Arabidopsis thaliana: one gene and its partner. The protein of the gene in region 1 purifies or fractionates together with the protein of each later gene. This does not show direct contact. Each region holds a gene or a part of one and is shown on either strand. Other genes may lie near its edges.

Evidence for each region.
Region 2: the proteins of AT5G48650 (region 1) and ATERDJ3A fractionate together in Arabidopsis thaliana (co-fractionation; one large-scale study listed by BioGRID). This does not show direct contact.

The regions. Positions count from the first base shown.
Region 1 is NC_003076.8:19,722,057-19,734,117, reverse strand, and holds AT5G48650 (Nuclear transport factor 2 (NTF2) family protein with RNA binding (RRM-RBD-RNP motifs) domain-containing protein), read right to left. Parts: upstream 7,447-12,061; 5' UTR 7,266-7,446; intron 6,872-7,265; 5' UTR 6,840-6,871; coding exon 6,795-6,839; intron 6,676-6,794; coding exon 6,538-6,675; intron 6,351-6,537; coding exon 6,044-6,350; intron 5,973-6,043; coding exon 5,743-5,972; intron 5,634-5,742; coding exon 5,414-5,633; intron 5,301-5,413; coding exon 5,173-5,300; intron 5,054-5,172; coding exon 4,988-5,053; intron 4,904-4,987; coding exon 4,840-4,903; intron 4,764-4,839; coding exon 4,585-4,763; 3' UTR 4,354-4,584; downstream 1-4,353. Other genes in the region: AT5G48657 (defense protein-like protein), read left to right, coding at 1-99; AT5G48655 (RING/U-box superfamily protein), read left to right, coding at 1,632-1,844, 1,947-2,004, 2,118-2,233, 2,319-2,543; AT5G48640 (Cyclin family protein), read left to right, coding at 8,477-8,508, 8,625-8,731, 8,882-8,921, 9,089-9,133, 9,328-9,446, 9,555-9,669, 9,923-9,973, 10,093-10,240 and 1 more; AT5G48630 (Cyclin family protein), read left to right, coding at 10,999-11,146, 11,260-11,299, 11,393-11,437, 11,518-11,636, 11,728-11,842, 11,942-11,992.
Region 2 is NC_003074.8:2,730,813-2,743,009, forward strand, and holds ATERDJ3A (DNAJ heat shock N-terminal domain-containing protein), read left to right. Parts: upstream 1-6,484; 5' UTR 6,485-6,493; exon of another isoform or gene 6,494-6,544; intron 6,545-6,640; exon of another isoform or gene 6,641-6,675; 5' UTR 6,676-6,776; coding exon 6,777-6,866; intron 6,867-7,082; coding exon 7,083-7,138; intron 7,139-7,234; coding exon 7,235-7,308; intron 7,309-7,463; coding exon 7,464-7,975; intron 7,976-8,084; coding exon 8,085-8,426; intron 8,427-8,630; coding exon 8,631-8,984; intron 8,985-9,162; coding exon 9,163-9,453; 3' UTR 9,454-9,737; downstream 9,738-12,197. Other genes in the region: AT3G08960 (ARM repeat superfamily protein), read right to left, coding at 50-106, 186-292, 508-729, 820-864, 1,138-1,296, 1,411-1,515, 1,603-1,785, 1,881-1,970 and 13 more; AT3G08980 (Peptidase S24/S26A/S26B/S26C family protein), read left to right, coding at 10,467-10,620, 10,714-10,786, 11,204-11,363, 11,486-11,563. UniProt on the Arabidopsis thaliana protein: Regulates protein folding in the endoplasmic reticulum (ER) lumen. Functions probably as a co-molecular chaperone that is required for normal growth of pollen tubes under high-temperature stress.

The DNA of each region.
Region 1 (12,061 bases):
AAGATGATCATTTCCCTTTTTTACATAATCCTCTTTTTTTTTATTTGCTTCTGCTTGATTTTTTTTAATAATATCTTTGTTATTCTTATGGAGATGTAAGGAGTAGTTTTTGCTAAAACATTATGCAACTTCTGTTACTCTATTTGCGTTTTTTTGAACAATACTCAGATTCATTTATAGGGGTGAATCCTTTTATTCACCTCCTATTATAATAAACAAAAATTAAATTTACTTAATTATAATATACAAACCTTAACTATTCTTTTATAAACCCAAGACGATATTTAATTTCGTTTAGTTACAAAAAATCTAAACTCTAATCTCTTTTTGTAAACCTAAACCGACACTTAACATCGTTTAATTATAAAATATAAATCCTAACCGTTAATTTTAAATCCAAACCGAGTTTTAACCTCGTTTAAGTGTAAAATCAGAATCCGTTTATAACCCTAAACCGAAATTTAACTTCGTTTAATTATAAAATCTAAACTCTAACCCTCTTTTATAAACGTAAAAAGCCAAACCGACATATAATTTCGTTTGGTGACATGTTATATTTTATAATTATTATTATTTTATCAGATAAAAAATTCTGATTGGTTAGAAAAGATGAGGTAAATAAAAAGATTCACCTCTACATGTGAATTGTGAATCCAAATATTTATCAGAAAATCAAACGTTACGATTAAAATGACATTTCGAACATTCATGTATTTTATTTCAAATTTGAAAATTTGCGTTTTTTCGACATTTTTTTAAAATGCGGTGGATAGATTTACAAAATTAAAAAGTTGAAGAATTTCTTAGCAATATTTATATGTTTTTTATTTACCTGTACGAGTGTTTGAAAATCCAAACAAATGGGCTGAACAAAGTTTTATAAATTGTTATCGTCATTGCTAACGTAAAACCCAATGGGCTATTTAAACATCTCAAACGGGTCCATTTTAGAAATTTTGCTTTTTCCTAGGAAACAACACTGTAAACCACGAGGAAGCTACATTACGATTTCGACACGTGTCACAATCGCACCGACCGCGTCGCTTTTTATTACGAACTCAAAAAACTCTCACCGTTTCTCACCACCTTCGTGTTTCTCTCTCTATTACAGAAAAAAAGATTCAAAAACCCTAGATTTCACAAAATCGATTGGCTGTCAAATTTCTCTCCGGCGATTTTCCTCGAGTGAAATTCGGCTCAAGGTGATTATAGCGATCATCGAATCAAATTGATTGAAGAGGTTCTTCTCTATCAAAACCTAATCTAATTCATTTCTCTTGTTGTTTGATTAAAAACGATCATTCTCGATTTTAGGATCGGATTTGTTAATTTGATCGTCTCGTTACTGTCAATTGAGTTTAATTTCGTAAAGTCGATGAATTTCTGGGAGATTGATTCTTTTCCCTTTTTGCTGTGAAATTGTGTTCTTTTGAAAAATTCTGTCTAAAGTTTGGATTTTTTTTTTCTGTAAGTATATGTGAAACTATACATTTTGAGATTATTCACGGAAATTATATTATCTTGCTTGCAATGATTTGAGTTTGTATATAAGACTTTGAGGAGTAAATTAGATTGTTTTATTGTTTGGTTGAAACTTACAGGTACAAAGGTTAGTTACTTTGAGCTGAAAGATGAACACGTCAGAGGTGAGAGTACCTCGAGGAAATCGACGGAGGAAAGCTGTGATTGATCTGAATGCGGTACCTGTTGATCAAGAAGGGACCTCTGCTTCTGTTAGAACTCTTACGGTGCCTATTACACCGTCTCAGCCTGCTCCTACGATGATTGATGTCGATGCTATTGAGGATGATGTTATTGAATCATCCGCTAGTGCTTTTGCTGAAGTATGTTTGATTTCTGTTATCTTTTAGTTTCTCATTTTTGCAGTGATGGATAGGATTTGTTTGTGTAGTAGGTTCACTGATTTTGTTTTATTTTGATACCAGGCTAAAAGCAAATCAAGAAATGCACGTCGGAGACCTTTGATGGTTGATGTAGAGTCAGGTCAGTTTTTATCTATTGTGAAAAGAAATTTTACTCTTCTGGTTCAATGTCATGTCTCAAGTAGTAGGGAGAGACAGAGAGTTTGATGGATGGATTTTACTTTGTGTTTGCAGGAGGTACGACTAGATTCCCTGCCAACATAAGCAACAAACGCAGAAGGATTCCTTCTAGTGAATCTGTCATCGACTGTGAGCATGCCTCTGTAAATGATGAAGTCAACATGTCTTCGGTAAGAGAGATGTGAATTTCTGGAATCATGTACTGTGCAGTTATGCGATTTAGTCTAAGCTCACAATTTCTTTTATCTTGTGTAGAGAGTGTCTAGATCAAAGGCTCCAGCTCCTCCACCAGAAGAGCCAAAGTTTACATGTCCAATCTGCATGTGTCCCTTTACGGAGGAGATGTCAACCAAGTGCGGTCACATCTTCTGCAAGGGATGTATAAAGATGGCAATATCTCGCCAGGGCAAATGCCCTACTTGTAGGAAAAAGGTTACTGCAAAAGAGCTGATTCGAGTTTTCCTTCCAACCACTAGATGAGTGGTCCGGCAACATCACCAGCCACCCTGTAGGTCAAACAATGATTATATTATCATCCACGTTTGTAGAGATTTACTAGATTTGAATTGTATACTTAATTAACTAAACTGGAATTTGGTTTCCATTCTCACAGGTCTAATGGTTTATCAGACTATCCTCCTATTCACTTTGGAACATTGAAGGGACTTCGTTGACTTGGTATTTTTGAATATTTTGCTTTGTTGGAAGAGAAATATTCAGTGATCAAGAAGCCAGAAGGCCCTATCATTCGATGGATATCATTGGTAATAACTCTTTGTTTTTAGTTGTTGTTCTATGTAATTTAGGTCTCTGCAAACCTCTCAGTCGATACTCTTCTCTCTTGATAGATGATAAGATATATGGAAAAAAAAATTAATATTGAATCTTTACTAAAATTCTACATCTTGATCATGTCGTGTATGCCAGTTCTCATCTCACATTGCTGATAAATGCGTAAAGTATTTATGTATGTCAGTATGAGCAAATAGTAGGAATTATAAGGGAAATTTATTGTGAAAAAAAAAAATAAAAAAAAAATAAGGGAAATTTATTAGAACTCCATGCACTGGGTCTAGAGTACAATGGTAGCAGAAGATAGATTGCAGAAGCTAATAGAATCGGTTTTGAATCGATGCTCTATTGCTCTGCCTTGTGGTTATTCACTCCTTAAGGTCACATTTTGCTAGCATGCATCGTCACCTAGTCATGGAAACTTGGTGGATGCAGCAACATTGGCATCACCTGTAGTCTGAGATCCGGGCACGGGGTTCTGTTTGTTGAGGCCAGCTTTGGGAGGAAAATAACCAAACCGTCTTTTATGAAAGGGCCAGCCATAATGTGGAAGAGGAAACCAACCCCAGAGTTGCTGGTTATTGGTGATAACCTCACTTTGCTCCTCAGGTGCATACCTCCCTTCAGCGCCTGATAGTAGAAGTGCCAGAAGGAGCTTGGCTTTCGTGTTATTCTTCTCCATTGTGATTTGTATATGGTAGTCTACTTTGATTTCTCGTTTTGCTGGGTGGTTATACTGAGAAGTAAGAACTGGATACTATAGGCCAAGCTGGTGATATGGTGGTTTTTTAGATGCCTTCTTTGTGAGGGATATTGAATGGTGTATAGATTATAGTTTTTGATCCTTTTGGAATGTTAGTCCACAGTTTTATTAACTGTTGTGTGATTAAGATCTTTCTAGTGGTAGATGCAATTCCCTGAACTCCATTGATAACAAACAGACCAAGAACACCAACCTCTTGAGCCTTGAATCTTGTAGTCATGGAGTGTGATTGGTATAGCAATGTATTGTTGAACATTAGCTTAGTTTGTTTTCTCTACCAACTGGTGAGTCGCGACATCTTAAATATCAAGAAGATAGAAATCGCACCTTGCTATTCCTATGTGTAGCCTCTGAGATTGTTGGCCTTAACGACTAGGTTTTGGTAACGACTCAAATTACTTGTCTTAGTTATATCTTTTCCATCTGATCCAACAGTCCTGAGTAACCGTTAAGCGGTCACTTAACTTTCCCAAGAAACCTAAACCACCATCAAGCCAAAGACTATCTCAGTCAACTAAACTCGACTAAGTGTCGGTAAACTTATTTGGCTAGTTGAGCTATATAGTTTAGTCGAAATATCTCAGTTTTTCCAGCTCATGTCATCTCGTCAATGCACTTTTTCTCAATACTGGGTAAAAAAGTAGCTCATGCTGCTGCATCCGGGTCAAAATTCCTAGGTCAAAGAAGGAACAGTAATACCAGTATACCACACGTTCAGAATCAAATAAAAAAACAAAAAACAAAAGCATAAGCACATTCATTTCATTAAATTTAGATTGTCGAATTAGAAACGTCTTACATATCATAAGCCATAATATCACCACAAATCCTTTTTTTTTTTTTTACCTTTTACTAATATTTGAATACCCGAGAGAGAGATATCTACCAATTCTGTCTGTCTTGCTACCATCTTCTTTCCACCATTCCAAAAATCAATTATCCGCCACAAGAGAACCCAAATCCGCTCTAGTACGAGTTGATGCTGGCGACGTATTCATTGCCTCTACGGTTAAAAGACCTTCCTCCTCCTCCAGGACCTCGACCTCCCCTCCTGTAATCATAGCCATATCCATAACTTCCTCTTCCTCTCATTCCCACTCCCACATTCCTATTTCCGTATCCCACGTTTCCATTTCCTCTTTTACCTGTTACTCAAGCAAACAAACAATCATCATCCTCTTTCTCCACATTACCATATCAACGTTTTGCTACTTTGCTCACCTCTTGATGTCGATAGCTTCTCCTCCACAAAAGCTCTCAGTCCACCAATCTTCACAGGTGAAGCCTGCATCATTCAGATGATTTCATATCGGTTTTCTATAATGCTAAACAAGAAAGTGAAAATTATATTCAAGGTTAGAATATAAACCTCTATTGCTCTGTGGGCAGCATCTGCCTCCTCAAACTCAACAAAACCATAAGGATAACCAAGGCCCTGCCAGTCATACAGTAAATTATCATTGTTCAGAACAATAATATATGTAAGATCTGCCAGTCATATATGTAGGATTCAAGCTTCCAATACTTAAGTGTTAGTTGATTGGTCAATCTTACCCTTTGATTTATGACTTGAATCCCACCATTGGTAATAGCTCCAAATTGCTTAAATTCAGCCTCAAGCATGTCAATGTTGGCATTAAAAGGAAGATGTCTCACATAAATAGATGTACCCTCAGCTACCGCTAATAAAAAAGACAAAAGAAGTATAAAACCATGTCATGAATAGATATGAGAATATAGACCACCAAATATTATAATTGAAAACTTGAGGATCAGCTATACTGTGAACTACTACCTTCCTGATTGTGCCCATTTTCAGAAGCATCAACAGACTCAGAAACTGTATCAGATTCTATCACTTGAGAAGGATCTGAAGATGCTTGTTGACCTTGGTCTTTGAGTATCTGGCCTGTAGAAGGATCTGAAGGCGCTTGATGTTCTTGGTCTTTAGGTATCTTCTTTGGAGAAGGTAAAGAGACAGCTGGAACTCCAAATTTATCTTTCGTAACCTTCAACTGTTATGATAGTCATTGATTATCAATAGAAAACTCAAGAAGTGATATAGTAAAGCCTAAAATAAGATGTAACAAGATCGAGTATGAATCCTCTAGGGTGACTACTTACCACAGAGGCATAGGATTTCTTGGGAGCATCTGCAAGTCCATCATCAGGGTCATAATTTTTCTGTGAATCATCTGCAACTTCTTTGCAAGTTATCTCAGTCCTTGCAACTTCATTAGCAATCTCAGGTACCAGAACATTATCCTTAGCATTCTCATTATCCAAGGGTTTGGACACTTCCTTACAAACAGGATTCACTGAAACACATGCAGCTTGCTCCGAACCCTTCATGCCTGTAGGAGCTAAAGTGTAAGAAAAGGATTGGAATAGAATTTGCGTTAGAAGAAATATAAGTTTAACTTACCATTGATAATAGTGGGTGTTGTAGAGTTTATCCCAGAAACAACTTCCCCATCTATGGTCTCTGGAACATTATCCTTAGCATCATCATTAACAAATCTGAGGATGTCATTCAGAACAAAGAAACCCTTTTCTTGCGGGGCAAGGAAAAAAGTTTGGGTGAATTTCCTTCTCGATCTCTCGTTTAGAGTGAAGTATCCAGTAACGAAGAGAAGGAAACCCCCATTGTGAGACTCTTGAGTATCATAACTGGTTATCTCAGCCGAGTTGCAATCTCCATAAGTCAGTCTCTTAAGCTCCTCACTTATACCCTGCACAAAGAATAAGCATCAATGAGAGACACTTTTAGCAAGTTACTTAAACTGCCATCCAATTTCCACCATACCAAATGACACTCCAGCCCAACCCCATGTTAGTTACTAATCCTTAACATCATAAAAATGATATAGTCTCATCCTCATTCAACCAAACCCAACTAAACTACTAAGAACTACTTACTTGAAAAGTGGAGAAATCACGCATGACTCCGTCCTGTCCAACACGGCCAACTCTACTGATCTCTTGATAAAACCGGGGCAGATGCTCAGGCATGTTACAGAAAATGTAGTAGTACTGATTGACAAACGCACTCCCAACCTATATTAACCAAACCCAAAAATACACTTTAACAACAACAAAAACAGAACAAACCACACAAAGAATCACAATTACAACTAGTAAAAAGGAGAAGAAACCCCATAATTGAAAAAACATACAGTAAGTGGGTCAACAACACGTTTGGTTGCAGCAGTAGAATCCATTGTATCGCCAACTTCCAGAGAATAAACAACACCTGTAATTCATAGAAGACTGTCAAAACTCAGAATCAATGTAAATCACAGAACAACCCAAGAATCATGTAAAAAACAGAAAATCTCTAAATCTCACACACAACTTTCCAAAATCGTTTCCGTAGAAAACGTAATTCATGAACTACACATAGTGACTCGATAAACACTTAACAAGCAAGAAAACGAACTAAGAGGCAACAACAAAATCAACTTCACAAAAGCAACCCAAAATCGTTTCATGAAATAAACACAGAAACAACTTCGAGAAAAGCACAAACTAGCTAAGAAACCAACGAAATCTACTTCACATTTCACTCCGAAACAGTGTAGATCACATTTTTCCGGCGAAATCGTGACATTAAACTGACGGAAGAGAAATAGTAGAAGAAGATTCACCTGAAATTAGTGAAATTGGAGCTTCGATTGAAGTCTGGGACCAACAATGGCGGGACCTAGGGTTTGATCGCTAGAAGGAAGGCCAAGTGTACGGAGAAAGCGAAAAGGCAACGGAAGAGGACTTTGTGGGGACTGTGAAGAAGATGTTTATATAGACGGGGAGAGAGTGTGTGTGTTGACGACTTTTTTATTGCCTTTTTGACTCTCACGTGTCAAACATGGTCCGTTGCACTTCCTCACCTTTCTTCAACAGATTTTATTCTCCACTAACTTTAATATTACTTACCTTTTATTAATGAGTACATTAGATTTTAACTTGGGTTAGCACATAATCCCAAAGAATTCTATAAGGTGAATTAGAGAATAATAACTCCTCTTGAATTGTTTTGATAGCGAAAAACCGGAATTAAATTTAGACACGGGATAATCGATACTCTTCTCGTGCGTTTTTTAGATTGTAGTCAACTTATTTGGCTTATTCCTTTGTCATGCGGTTTTTCTCGTGCGTTTTTAGATTGTAGTTTACCTATTTGGCTTGTACCAAATATTGAACGTGAGAAACATGTAGGGTGTTAATTTGAGTATGTATTAGTCTAAGTTTAGTTTGAATTTAGTATGTTTAAAGAAAAAAAGTTAGTTTTGATAAAGGAGTATGGGCTCAATAAAACAAATGAACATGTATATTAGGCAAACGAAAAATGTGTGGTGTTCTTCTGAAAATTCTTTTATGAACACCCAAACTTATGGTTAGAAGAAAATCACTGATCAAGCGTTTGAACAATACATGATACAAAAACTTGTGAGAGAAAAATATTCGGTGTGGCTGATGATATAAAGCTAGAATTTTTATAGCCTTAATCATGACGAAAAAAACCAAACTCAAATTTAATCCTTTTGAAACTGATTATACCTCGTCGAAATGATATATTCGGTCACTTCTTAGCTATTTATAAGATTTCAATTTTTATCATCTATATGTTCTGTTATTCAAAAAACAACGAACATGTTATATCAGAGTTAATACTTTCATTTGTTTGCCTATTGGGCCGATAATGGGCCGAGCCTTAAATTTAATTTCAGAAAAAAGCAACGATATGATAGATCATGAGACCACCAACCAAAGAGATTTGACAGATAACAGAAAAATGTTGAACTTATGAGCTAAAAAAGCTTCTCCTCCTTACCAAAGACTCGACGGTCTACCGGAAAAAATGGCTGCCAATTTCTGGAATTCATCTCACTAGTAAATGTTCTTTAAAACTTTACCCATCAAAATTCACTTCTTCTTCTCCTTCTAAGCAACTTCTAATTTCAATTTCTCGAATTTTTTTGTTTTGTTTTTGCGTTTGTACGAAACAGTAAACAGCTTTTGGATCCAGAAGAAGTCGACGTAGTTCATGATCTCGATAAAGAACGTGGAATCTCAATTGATGATTTTAAGCTCATCAAGTTCCATATGTCTAATCGTACGAAATCCTTTTTCTTCTTAATTCTTCGAATTCTCCTGCTTACTTAAGCAAATTTGTTGTCTCTGTTGCACTGGTTTGATTAGAGATTGATCAGAGAAGTTTTTTGAGTTTATGTCTCTTTGTTTCTTCATTTATTGTTGTTTTCAGATATTATGAAATTGGCTCAGCACATTAAAGTGAGGCAAAGGTTGGTTCTTTACAATTTGGGGGTCCAATTTTTGCTATATCAAAGAGATTCTACTGTTGCAGTACTTCCATTACTTTGTTTTGCTTCTGTAGATTTAACTAGCTCTAATATCTGGTGTAACCTGGACTTGTATATGAATCGTCGCCTTGGTTTTTCTACTTATGTAGGGTTGTAGCTACTGCAATTACGTATATGAGACGGGTTTATATCAGGTATGCAATGTATTTTTGATATGATCGTATACATCAATGTGCATCTTTGTGTATGTGAGGAATGAAATGAGTTAAATTCTTGTCATGCCAGTGTCTCTCTATGTTGCATCTCTGCTATCAAAAACGTTAACTGTGTTACGAAAGTTTTCAGTTTTGGTGTCTAATATCTTCCTTTTGTTACTATACTATCTCAGAAAGAGTATGGTAGAGTTTGAGCCTCGACTTGTTGCTCTTACGTGCTTGTACCTGGCATCTAAAGCTGAAGAAAGCATAGTGCAGGCCAGGAATCTTGTTTTTTACATCAAAAGATTGTGTAATATCTTCTTCTTCTGTTTTTTTATTTTTCAAATCATGAGAGTACCTCCCCTTCAATATGCTTTTTTTTGACATATCGACGACAACGGTTCTTATATCTTTGCAGATCCTGATGAGTACAACAAATATGAACTAAAGGATATATTAGGAATGGAGATGAAGGTGTTAGAAGCACTAGATTATTATCTGGTTGTGTTTCACCCTTACCGGTCATTATCGGAGTATGTCCACTCATCTCTCTTATCCGCTTTTCGGAAGCTTTGAACATGTTTGCCTTATTGTCTGTGGTTACAAACGGAGAAGTGTAAATGATGATACATGTAAAAACTTGCAGTCTTCCCATACAATGTTCTTGATGTTTCTCATTATATCAAAATTTTGGACCACCTTAATATTTCCTTGGTGAGAGTTTTGTGTGCCTTGATGGTCAGAAAATCAACACTCATTCTAATACTTCATTCTTTTGATTTCTAGGTTTTTGCAAGATGCTGCATTAAACGATGTAAATATGAACCAGATTACATGGTAAGTCCTTCTATATGAGATATATTGCATAGAACTCAATTCCTAGCTCCAACCTTAAAATCTAAGAGATCTCTGACCTGTATAAAAAGCATTTTGAAAACCTATTTTCCGTGTTTCAGGGGAATTGTTAATGATACTTATAAGATGGACCTCATTCTTGTACACCCTCCCTACCGCATAGCGCTAGCATGCATATACATAGCAAGTGTCCACAGAGAGAAAGATATCACTGCATGGTTTGAAGATCTTCATGAGGACATGAACTTGGTCAGTCATTCTTCTAAAAGTTATTCAATCATTAGTTAAAGCGAATAGCTATGATCTTTTGCGTGATTTTCGGTATTCTTTAGTGACTTTGAAAGCTCTACATGGGGCAATGGGTTGCAGGTAAAGAATATTGCCATGGAGATACTGGACTTCTATGAGAACTACAGAACAATCACAGAGGAAAAAGTGAATTCTGCCTTCAGCAAATTGGCTTTGAAGCTGTAGAGAATCACCTCCATCTCCAAGACTTATCGCACAGAAAAAAATGATTAGAGACTTCCACAATTGCCCATCCATCTAGCTTTGTGGCAAACATGTAACACTGTTATTACCAAACCTATTAATCTTAAAGTAAACATTATTGTTAATTGTTCATCATAATGGGTTTGTTTTCCCTTTTATTTTCTCCAAAACCTAAACCTCTCGTAGAAGCAAAAATGTGAAATAAAACAAAGGTCAAATTGATGAAGATGAGAAATATGAAAAAAAAAAAAAGATTTCATATAAGAATTTTAAAAACTTTTTTTGGTAAATAATTTTTTTTCTATCAAAAAAGATAAATACTGAATTATTACTTTTTTTGTTTTGTATTTTTCCTTGGTGGTCTTTATGCTCTCATTATCCACACCATAAAAATAAAAAGCTTGTATTTTTGAAGTTGAAGGATCAAAGAAGCTATGGCTTCCAATTTCTGGACTTCGACGCACTAGTAAGTTTCAATCAATGATTAAAGATCGTCTTTTTTTAATTCAATTTCCATGTTCCTGATTGATTCGTTTTGTGGGTTTTATTTTCACAGCAAAGAGCTTAAGGACCCAGAAGAGGTTAATGTTGTTCATCCTCTTGATGCTCAGAGAGGAATCTCTGTTGAAGATTTCAGACTCATTAAGCTTCATATGTCTAATTGTATGTTTTCATTGGATTTGATTACCTTGTTAATTAATTTCCAGATTGGATTTAACATCTCTAATGTCATGAATCATGTTTTTCGTGTTTTCCTTGTTGTTATTTGATTTCAGATATATCGAAACTGGCACAACACATTAAGATTAGGCAAAGGTGAAGTCTTTCGTTGTTAGTCTTAAAGAGATATGGAATGTGCTATGACCCTTTGAACAATGCTGACTGATTTTTAGCACTTTTATGATTCAGAGTTGTTGCAACTGCAGTAACCTATATGCGTCGTGTTTACACAAGGTATGGCTTCTTTGGTAATCGTTGTGTAGCACGAGGCTTGGTCATTTGATTTATGGGTACTGTTGTGTGTGTTTTGACAGAAAGAGTTTGACGGAATATGAGCCTCGGCTTGTTGCTCCTACATGCTTGTATTTGGCTTGCAAAGCAGAAGAGAGTGTGGTGCATGCCAAACTTCTTGTCTTCTACATGAAAAAACTTTGTAAATTCTTTTTTGTTTTCTGCTTCCAAAATTTTCTTGAGTTTTTTTTGTCTGAGTTTCTGATGAGATTGGATGCTTTCACTCTCTGTAGATGCGGATGAAAAGTTTCGATATGAGATTAAAGATATTCTGGAAATGGAGATGAAGGTCTTGGAAGCATTGAACTTCTATCTTGTTGTATTCCACCCATATCGATCTCTGCCTGAGTAAGTCGTTTGCTTAGGATCATATGTGTCGTCATCGAAATCTTTTTGCCATTATACTCTGCATTTCGTTTTGATTATTCCTTCTTGCATTACTTGCAGGTTCTTGCAGGATTCTGGAATCAATGACACTAGTATGACCCATCTAACTTGGTAAGTGTCCAAAACTTTTGTCCTTCATTAAGCTTCTTGGAAGAGAGCCTAAACAGGTTTTGATTTGCA
Region 2 (12,197 bases), on another chromosome or scaffold:
TTAATTTAATAATGTTATGTAATGTAAGTAATTAAAAAAAGTATCTGACCTTGATTCTTCTTCTGTTAAATCTTTGTTTTCACCAAGGATCACACTGGTGCATGTACTGTTTCCAGAAACGCGATAAATTATATCACAAAGATACATAAGTCAAACTGTTAATTCTCGACTGTGCAAACCTGTACCTTAGTATTAGATCAAGCTTGTCAAGAACTTGGGGCATTCTAAGTGTAAGTATTATGGAAAGAGCCAAGCCAAATGTCTTTTGTTGCATGGGAGACGCATGGTCCACCTGCACGAGTAGATGCAAGACTAAAGTGCGTCAGATAATGAAAAAGAAACATGCATTTCAACATGTAGAGCAGTTTGACAATGAGATATTGCTTAGGATTCAAGAAAAAGACCATGTAAAGACATGAAACAAGTTAATATTCCATTATCTGAAAGTTAATAGTCTAGAAAGCTATTCGAACAACCAGTAATGTTCAAGATGTGTTCTTCACTGACCTTGTCGAGCCAAATGTCGATGAGGCAAAGGAGTATATTGTCTTCGACTGGGACACCTGCCTGTTGGAGTAACACTGAAAGAGATGAATCAGATGTTAGCTGGGCCAGGTAAGTGGTGTTCATCACCAGAATCCTTGCAAGGATAGCTGCTGAAGACACTTTAACTGCAGTCTTGGATGGATCACGGTCATCTCCACCACTCAAGCAAATAATCACCAGTTTCTGCGAGAAAACGAACAAACCAACTCCATCAGATGCATTAAGGAAGAAAATGGATTTTGCATCCATCAAAAGAAGACTAGAAAAATTCACCTGCAAACAGCTGCTGATGAGAGGGGGCACTTCCACAGGAAAACACTGCTCAATACACAAGCACATGTTCATATCAAGAAGTTAAACTTGGCGTAATTTGCAACACATTTATAGAGAGTCATGACAAAAAATTCCAGTGTAATCATGCCAAAAGTTCCATTACTGGTCAATATATATGTATCCCAAGAGATGAGGCTATGTAATACAAAAATAAATGCAGTCTAGATACAAACTTAACAGAAGAATAAGTATCTCTGGAACTTAAACACCATCACAATAAGGATACGACCAATTGGGAAAATGGGAAATTATACGCACCTGAACTAAGATGTCAATCACTGGAAGAATCGAGAGTAAACCCTTATCATTTACATTTCCAACGATAAGATCAAGAATTTTTGCGACACTTGAAGCATGCATATTTAGAAATTCTCCTCCATCCAAAATGATATACGAATCCATGATACTGACAGCAACCTATATATGGTCATTTGAATGTCTCAAGACGTAACATGTTGAAGTAAATCTGAACACACACATGTATAGGTCATTAATGAATCAAACAACTCCTTGAAAACTTAAAAAGCTCACCTGTAAATGATCAAAACTTCTTTCAATGATCTCCACCATATAGGGAAACAATGCTAATAGCTGGGGCACCATCATAGGAGCATAGGAAAGTGTGGTTTCCCATAACTGCATATGTAGAGCAGTGTTATTAATATATAGCGCATTTGTATCAGCAGAAAAGAAAGGTATACATGTTATGATATGGAAACTTACTGCCATGCTATCCTCCAGAAGGTTGAGTGAATCAGGGCTATTTATGTCAATGCCCTTTTGGAGTATTGGGAGCAGTATGCTATAGCAAATGGGAGACTGATAACCAAGTGCAATCACAAAATTTCGCAGTGCGACAAGAAGCTGGATCTGCAGAAGGCTTTCACCAGAAGATTCCTCCCAAACCTGTTCTTAAGTCAACCACATAGATAGTCAGCTATAAATTGCGGACCAAGAAAAGAAAAAACAAAAAAACAAATCCACAAAGAAAGCTAGTATACCTTCTGGAAGAATTGCACCAACTTTTGTGCGTACGGAATGACTTCGCTAACATGGCCAATAAGAGTAGAAATCAAATTCAGAATTTGAACCTGAGAATAGTTAGATGTTGTATGAGTCATCGAAGGAAGTATAATGGCAAGAATGGAGTGCTATAATGAATTTGAGGCAGCTACATCAAGTACCTTCGAATCAAACTCTTGAACTACCTCGACCATTTTGAAACATGAATCCCAACAGATTGGAAGAAGATCAAGAAAACTTTGCTCCGAAAAATTTGCATCCTCGACATGTAAGCATAATGACCTACTAGCTGCCAGCTACATAAGTAAACAGATGATCTCAGAGGTCACCAATACATATAAAGAAAAAAATGAGAGAATGTGCCCTTAATGCAAGACAGAAAGATAAAAGAAACAAAGATGAGATAAGATGAGACTACCTTTACAGCGAGGTCATTGTCTTGCAACAATTTGATCAAAGCACAATAAACTGCTCTTTTTGTGTCATCCTTAATCTGAAAGGTTGTAATCATCAACCATTTACCATTAGCCAACCATTTTTCAACCAAAATCTAATTGACGAAAACTAGGGTAGAGAAGAGAACACAAACCAACAGGGTAACTAACCCTAATAGCCATTTGTAACAAATAACCAGAAACAATTCTGCTTTTAGATGGCTATCCCTCATTGACTCAACTTATGGACAAGATATTATGTCAATTTGCAAATTATGTTATAATCTTAAGATGCTTTTAGAAAAAAAGATAAGATGTGATTTCCTCCAAAGCCTTGTCAAGCTTAGCTGCATAAACATGGTAAAGCCGGTGTAAAACAAGTAAACAGCAGTACCTCCGAAACCCAATGTCCCAATATCATAGCAACTTTTCGGTGGATGATACGCCTATTTGGATGGTCATTTGAGAGTTCAAGGGATAGAGCACCATTAAACCTGCAGCCAATCATCCGATCATTAAGAAGGGTACAATAATTACTTGACTAATCAAAACTTTTGTCACATTCTGCTGGCTAGCAAAATGAAGGGTCAAGATGTTTAGAGCAGATGGAAAAAAGATTCAGACATTAGAAGATCAAGAGCATACCAATCTCTGAAATTAAGATAATTCGAGAGCTCATAGTAGACATATGCAGTAGCAGCGTATGCCGCATCTTTAAGAAGCAGTGCAGGAGTTATTTCAGTAACAGAAGGGGGACAATTATTCATTGCTTCTTGAAGGATGGACACAACAATAGGTCCTAGCAGCTGTCCACAATTATAGAGACAGATGGAATACGCATCAGTTATAGCGTTTAATGATATCTATATCAATTAGCAGACTTCTTTTCAGAACAGGATGAAGTGCCTAAGACTATTTGCTACTTACTTGGCTGTAGTTCTCAAACAAAACCATATATAGAGCTTCAGCACAAGGCCTCAATTTCTCTGTCCACTGAATCATGTCCTGCTCATGATGAAAGGACTCAGGGTTCTGGTACCACTCCTCTAGGTCACTTGCTGTTAGTACAAAATACCTGTTGGAATGTCGATGGTTAATTTCAGTAAACTTTTCTTCCAGGCATCATTCATACAACGACCATGACACCATCACAGTTCACAACACAATAAATGAACTTAATGCATGCAATAATTTTCAAACTAGCTCCACTAGGCCCCGACAGTAACATTGCCTTCTCATTTATTCCATGCACGCAGCAAGAAGAGATTGAGACCAGAGATACATAGATGTACAGCAACTAGATCATTATGTGTCCACAAGATTGCCCCAGCTCATATTATGTTTTGGATTTTGCATTGGTATTGAAATTTATGTATTATCAAATTAACTAATAAGAACTAAGGCATGAAATAATATGAATATAACAGGGCCACAGTTTGGTAACTAAGAGAGACCCAAAAATTTGAATTCACATATCTTACTGTTAGTTAAGAGTGTTACCGTCTCACTAGTACGTTGCAGAGAAGAACTATCCTTTCATTGGGTAAAAGTGACGACACAATGCCACCAACTGTGTTGGAAGCATTCTTCTTCCTCTGCTCAAATGTATCTCCGTTGTCATCCATCACACGACCAGTTCGACTTGGCTTATATTCTTTACATTCAAGCACAGATTTCACCATCACCATACACTGAATAAAAAAATCTTCAAATGGCAACAATGCCTGTTCGGGGTCCGTTATCTTGTTTAAGCAGAAATCCACTACAACTGGAAGAGCACATTTATCTCCAAACGAAAATGGATGCCTGCTTTGAATAGCACCTAACACCTTCATCAGCTTGACACATGCCTTCTTTACAAACTCCCAGAATTTAGGATCTCGATTTTGAAAAGATGAATCTGCATGGAGGCTCCACACAAGTTAGCAATACATACATATATATGTGTGCTGACAGGTCATATGCATGAAAAAGAGTTTCCACCACACAAAAAAACTCACAATATGGAAGAAAGGATTGAGCCGCATTCAAGAGCGCAGGAGAGACTTCTTTCACTGGTTGTATCTCCTGAGAGAAACGAGTTAGCTGTATATTCTTTTATCTGCATGAAGAGCATATGCCGGAGAGCAAGAAAGATTTCTCTATCCCGATGTAGTCAACCAATCTATTAAGGTTATGATTTCAACTTAACCATTGGAAGATAGCAGAAGAAATGGAAAGTGCGGGGAACGGAACACATATTTGGCGAAACTATACCACAAGTTCATAGAAGGGAGATAGCTGAAGGTGAATGTGATAATGAACTAAAAAGATTCATGAAAAAGTATAGTGTATCTACCTGTATATTATTGGCATCGCTTAGAAATCCTGAAATTATCAGTTGGCGCACTATTTTCAAACATAAAAACCACCTCTCACAAGTCAGAAAAAGCTCATCGTGATGCTGCTCGGCACTATTTGAACCATAGCTCTGAACCATTGTTGAAAAGCCATGTAGAATTGTTTGGACATCAGTTTGCCAAAGGTGCCAACTAAAGTCGAAGAATTGCGACGAGATCTGCCAACAAATTAAACTGGACCTTATCCTTAACTAAAGCAAAAAACGAAGCTTTGGTCCAACAATAAATTCATTCAAGAGGAGAAAGGAAACTGATAAGGGGTTGATGTTAGTAGCAGACTCACCTCAGCGAAGGTCTTCTGATCCGCAGTGAGACGTTTAGTAGACAATTCCTTTAAGGTTCGAAAAAGAATCAGAAAGATTCTGTGAGAAGCCAGAACGTCAGCTGAGTGAAGCTGTTGCGCTAGTACCGAAAAGAGATCAGGCCTGATATCATGAAGCACGCAATGCATAAACTCAGTAAATCAAGGAAGATAGTGTCCAGTTAATATGAATTAAGAAGGGAAAATGCTGACCATTCCCTAGGATAATCAAAACGGGCTATCTTCGATATGAGAACAGCCAACATTTCCGCTATCTGCAATAAAGCAAACAAAGTCAGATAGATATGCTTACAAAGTATATGCCTCAAATGGTGTAGTCAAGGAAAAAAATCAAAAGTAAATGCTACAACACCTGGTAGTTCTCTTCTCTCAAGTGAGACAACAATTTCTGCCTCAGATGACTCTTTTCCTCGTTGCTCATACTCCTGTAAGAATTGCCAGAAAGAGTGTCAAGGCCTAACATACAGGGTAGTATCTTTGCAGAGCGAAGAATCTAAACGAGCCAGCTAAAAAGAATTATAAGTAGAATTGCCGATTCCGGAAACAACTTGAACTTACCATGAATTTCTTCTGCTCTTCCAATGACGGTTGATACTGTTCTTGAAATACACTGAGGCCATTAATCTAACGTCCACATGGGACACCAAATCCTTGGATGCAATTACTTCCTGCAACCAAACCAGAGGAAATGAGCGAGTAAAATCAAGCTGACATTTGCAGAAACCACAAGACACATAGATTAGAAACGCTACCATAAGGCAAGAACAGAAACCAGGTCTACTCTCCGACAGAGATAGAGCCGCCTCCGCCGGCCGCCGAACGGTCTCGTCACCGCTCATTGAATTAGCTAATAGCGTGTACATCGCCGGCAAATCGGAAGCCGATAACGCCATCAGATCCGACGATATTGTTGACCTAATTAACCAAGGAAACGTCGAGGATGAACCCTAGAGGTTTGTTACGACGACGATAAAATCTCACGGCGAAGGAAGGAAAACGCGAAGCTAGTAGAGACAGAGAAGAGAAGAAAGATCGTCTTCTTCTTCCTCCGTCTTTCAACTTCTCTTAAGCTCTTGAAACGTAACAATGTCACTAGTGAAAATGATTTCCTCTTTTTTTTTTAACAGTCGAAGAAAAAAGAAATACTTACCGTCGCTCTGATCGGATTCCGATCACCCAACCGGAGACTTTCGTTTTGGGCTAACTACAGATTATTGGGCCTATAATAAATAAGCCCAAATTAATAATCGCGCGTGATCTTAACGGCGCGTGAACGCAAATAAACAACGATCGCTCGTGTTTGCTAAAATCTTATTGGTGGAGATACGTGGGATTGCATCAAATTTGCCACGTATGATACCCGCCTTAAATTGAGAACGGGAAGCAACCGGAATTTATTTTCAGGAAATACGAAACAACCCCTGCTAGTTTTTGAAGTGAGTAATTGCCCCTACCAATTTCTTAATCCAATTGACAATTTTGGTGTCTTTTGTAAGACTATTAAATATGGGGAATACTCTAAATTAATTAAAATATATATGTCATTCGAGAAATTTCCTTTTTTTCCTTTAAACCCTGCGAACCTATTTAATGATGTCCTTCTCGATTTTTCTCGAAGCGTTGAGTTTCGTGAATAAGACACGCTTAGAAGAGGAAGAAGAAGATTCGTTGACAACAAAACAATAAAAGAGAAAAAGATTGAGAGGTTGTACTTTCGGGATGGTGAGAACAAGATTGGCGATATCTGTTGTTCTTGTGTCGACATTGTTGTTGTTGAATGTGAAAGCGAAGAGCGTTGATCCTTACAAGGTACGGTTTGTGATTCATCTTGTTTTCTTTCCATTCACAAGTCTTTTGATTGGGGCCGGAAATAATGATTACTTTTGATTGTCCCCTTTCTCATTGAAGTTTGGGCTGACAAATTTGTGGGTGTTATAGAAAAGAAGGATTTTTGATATATTAGGTTTTGCTCAGTAGTTTTTGCTATTGATTATAAACATTATTAACTAATGAATGCATCTTCAGGTTCTTGGAGTATCTAAGGATGCAAAGCAGCGTGAAATCCAGAAAGCTTTCCACAAGTAAGCACCCTTCGTTTCTAGTCGCTGATTAAGCTAATAATTCGAATGATGATCAACAAATAGTTTACTCATGTAGCTTGTGATTTTTTTTGGCAGGCAATCTCTGAAATATCATCCAGATAAAAACAAAGATAAGGGTGCTCAGGAGAAGTTTGCTGAGATTAATAATGGTAGGTATCAAATTTCCCTAGGAGATGTGTCCTGTAATCGAATCTTTTAGTATATTATAAGATTATTCTTGTTCTATGGCCATGTGTTTGTGGCACAAATTGAATTTTTGTTGATCTGGCTTTGACAAGTTTAAACCCTTATCTATGTGTAACAGCGTATGAGATCTTATCTGATGAAGAGAAGAGGAAAAACTATGATCTTTATGGAGATGAGAAAGGACAGCCTGGATTTGATTCGGGGTTTCCCGGAGGTAATGGTGGGTATTCTTACTCCTCAAGTGGTGGTGGTTTCAACTTTGGAGGGCCTGGTGGTTGGCAAAATATGGGCGGTGGGGGAGGTTCCAAATCGTTTTCTTTCTCGTTTGGCGGTCCTAGTGAAAGCTCCTTTGGTTTTGGTATGGATGATATCTTTTCCATGTTTTCGGGCGGTAGTTCTAAAGGAAAGGAGCAGTTTGGTGGCTTTGGTAGCTCATCGAATGCTGAATCTAAATCAAAGAGCAGTACTGTAGCAGCTATCAAAACCATTAACTCTCAGGTCTATAAGAAGGACGTTGTGGACCAAGGGATGACTTGGCTTTTGTTGTCGTATCTTCCATCTCAGAGGGGAAGCCAGTACCATGAATCCATCATAGAGGAAGTTGCTGAGTCGTTGCAAGGAGCTTTAAAGGTAAAACATATGCTTGTCAAGTTAGTTGATTTTGGGTTTTCTGTTTCGTTCTTAAAAGAAGAAGTGTAGTTTCTTTTGTTGTTTACGTGATTTAACTTTATGTTTACAGGTTGGGCGATTAAATTGTGAAACAGAATCCTCTCTTTGCAAACAACTAGGCATAGTTCCTCGTAGGGCTCCAAGGATGTTTGTTTATTCATACACATCAAGTGGCAAAGCTACCTTAGCAGAATATACTGAAGAGCTTGTTGCAAAGAAGGTGAAAAGCTTCTGCCAGGAACATCTACCGAGATTCTCAAAAAAGATTGATCTGAATACATTCGATGTATCTGCCGTTAGCTCACAAAAGACTCCTAAAGTTTTGCTTCTGTCAACAAAGAAAGACACTCCTGTCATCTGGCGGGTTCTAAGTGGCTTGTACAATGGACGATTTGTCTTTTACAACACAGAGGTTTGTTATATTTTGGCTTTAATTTCCACTTACATCACTATTCCTACAATTATTGTTACTGCGAGAGTCTGATGGTCGTAGAAATTATGGGGTGGTTCCCTGGTCCACGTTTAATGACGAGTCAGCAAATTTGAACTTAATTATTAGAATTCCTTAGACATGAAATCTTTTTAGCTAAAGTATTTTTTTCTCATGATCTTGTAGGTCCATGATACTTCTGATCCAAAGATACAAAAGTTGGGGGTAGACAAGTTTCCGGCAATAGTTGGTTGGTTATCGAATGGGGAGAAGCAAGTCTTGAAAACAGGTATCACTGTGAAAAATCTGAAATCAGCTGTCCAGGAACTTGGTAAATTGCTTGAAGGATTAGAGAAGAAGAACAAGAAGGTCTCTTCTAAGAGTCAGGCGGGCCAAGCCCCTAACGAGTCCTCAGAAAAGATACCTCTTCTGTCAAGACCAAATTTTGACTCCATTTGTGGGGAGAACACTCCTGTTTGTATCATTGGTGCCTTCAGATCGTCAAATGGTAAAGAGAAGCTGCAGTCAATAATGTCCAAGGTAAACAAATATATCACTACCTCTATACTCTATTTATATGCCTTTGGCTCAGTATGATAGTTAAACACGGTTCTTTGATAAATTTCAAGAAGTGAAGCGGTGTTCTTTCTTCAAGCCATTACTCTTTTGGTTCTTTGACTTGATGATGAATAATCCTCCGGCTCTATTCTTTGTCCAGGTATCCCAGAAATCACTCTCTCGACGACAAGCTTCAACCACAGGTTCTCAGGACACAGTATCCTATTCGCTTCTAGACGCAACAAAACAATCTGCGTTCTTGAGCTCCCTTGACAAATCAGAGTTCAAAACTTCTTCTGATAAGCTCCTAATAGCTTACAAGCCTCGACGAGGTAAGTTTGCTACATTCAAAGGCGATATGACTATTGAGGAAGTTGAGAAATTCGTAGCAGCTGTTCTTAACGGAGACATACAGTTCACAAAGACAAGACAGAAACCCCAGATCAAATGAAAGTTTTTTTTCATCAGACATTAGTTTCAGAGATGTACATCGTTTTGGAGGAGAAAAGGGTGATTTTTCACGTTTCCTGTGTTGCAATCTGCTTTTGACAGTAAGTTTGTGTATTGTCAAGAGACGTGAAACAGTTCTATAGGACTAGAATTATGTCATTGTACTGAGTACTGACTACTGAGTTCTTTGTAATTATTACAAATTATAAATATGAAAATGTTGGGGTTTTGACTTTGAACCCCAACACACTTCTGAAATTAGAGACCGGTAAAAACAGTTTAAAAGCCGCAGTGACCCTGATTTACTCCAGTTAACCACACTCTATAGACAAGTTAGAGTGTTACTTTTTGGCAGAATAACAGTTTAAAAGCCGCAGTGACCTTCGGGCCTTTGACCGCGAATCCAACGGTCACGAACCGGAAGAAACCAGACTAAATCCGCGACACGAACTTTTTGATTGAACCGGCTAATTTATGGTACCAGCTAAACCTTGTAGAGCAAAAGAGAAACCCTGATTCTTCTTCTTCACATCGTCGCGAGCTCTGGTTCTCTGCTCTCATCCGCTTCACAAAATTGATTTGCGAGTCGTTGTGTTCCAACTCTCATTCTTTTGCACCTGGATTTCTTCCATTTTCAGGTTATTACAATCACGTTAGATTTTGCGTTTTTTTTGTTTTCACAGTCCTGTGGTCGATTTCGATACGGTTCGATTAGGCTTACACTTCAGATTAGTTTCATCTTTCAGTTCCATGAATCGATTAGGTTTAGTTCACTAATTTTAGCATGGTTTGAGATTAGATTTAGAAAACCCGATTCATTAACTGGTTGACAATGCTGTGGTTTTAGACTGTAGTGTTTGATCTAAAATGGTTTTCTGTTTGATATAATCGTATTGGTTGTATTTTAAATCTCATTTAAATGATGTATCAACTATAAAGCCTTCTGGTTTTGTTGCAGATAGATGGTTCTATGAATGTTGCTGAGAATCAGATATTAGTTAGGCCATCTTGGACATGGGAATCCAGAATATTTTATGGCAAGTGGCGAAGAAATCATTCACTGGAAGTATTATAGGGCTTACCATTTCAGATAGATGTTGTAGCGTTGTTCCAGTGAGAGGAGATTCCATGTCTCCCACATTTAATCCCCAGCGGAATTCTTATTTAGGTAAGTGTCCTACTGCACAAACTGCTAGAAGGTAGACTTTTGCTTATTTTGGTCCATTCTTCTTTCTTATTAGATGTTCAAATGTTGATGCAGATGATTATGTACTTGTGGACAAATTTTGCCTTAAGGATTACAAGTTTGCGCGTGGTGATGTTGTAGTGTTCAGGTATGTTCCCTATAATGCCACATTTGAGTCATCCTTTGACAAGGGAAGATTATAGCTACATAATACTTAAATACATGTTGATCTCTTGTTTAAACCTTTTCTTGGATGCTTACAGCATTCACAATTTTATTAAATCTAATTCCCTAAAACCTTACAAATGTTTGTTGTCCTATTTGTGGTGCTGAACCATGAAATTCGTGCATATTCAATCTCTGGTACATTTGATATAATGTATTTGGTCATGAATACAAACTCTTTGGATTCTATTCTTGCTTTTTGCTTCCTTTAGCTCAGCTTTTTCAGGTCTCAAATCTGTTTTATAATGTTCATCTGACATTGTGCCGTATGTGTTCTAAGTTGTATATTTTGAAATACATCATTAAGCTCCTGACGATGTGAACTGCATCTCTGTGGCAGCTCTCCGACACATTTCGGAGATAGATACATAAAGAGGATAGTCGGGATGCCTGGTGAATGGATAAGTAGTTCTCGGGATGTGATCAGAGTCCCAGAAGGTCATTGTTGGGTAGAAGGAGATAACAAAACTTCCAGCTTAGACTCAAGATCCTTTGGCCCTGTAAGTTCTCTGCTTCCAAACCCCAGCACATAGTTTCATAGAATTAGAACGTAGATGATGCACATGATATTCTTTTCAAGGCCTGTCCCATGTGACTGATCTGGATAAACTTGTTTTGGCAGATTCCTTTGGGTTTAATTCAAGGAAGGGTCACTCGTGTCATGTGGCCTCCTCAAAGAATAAGCAAGATCGGTCGATAATGCTAATGGAGAATGAAAAGGTATGTTCCTTCCTGTTCCAAATGAATACCCCCTTCCTCAAGATTCTCTGTTAAGGAATCTGCTTCATACCAAAGAATGGTTTATCAGAAAGATTGAAAGGTCGTTTTTCTTCTTCCCTTTTCATACAATGTAGGACGTCTCCATGTTCCTCAAGATCTCTATGGGAATTCTCAAATTCACATTTCTATCCCATTTTTTTTTTTTTAAATAGAAAAATAAACGACACTTAAATACTCCGTTCTCAAATCGGAACCAAAGTCACGTGTCAATGATACCAATTAACACTCTTCGTTCTTATATCGGTTCTGGTCAGCTTCGATTTCTTTTGTTTCAGTTGAATTCCAGTTGATGGAATTAAATTCACTTGGTCGATCCGGTTTGGTCGCTTGTTCGAACACGAGCAATTAAATCTAGTCCAATCAGAAAAGAAAAGACATACCATGGGAAATAAATAAATGCTGTAATAAATTACAATGTTGTACACGTGGTAAGTGTGATTAATTCCTTATGTTAATTTCCTGGAAGAATAAGTGTTTATTATATAAATAAATGCATGGAAAATTCGAAACCTCCTCCTTGCTCTGGCGTTTCTCCTTCGGGGTAAGATCAATTT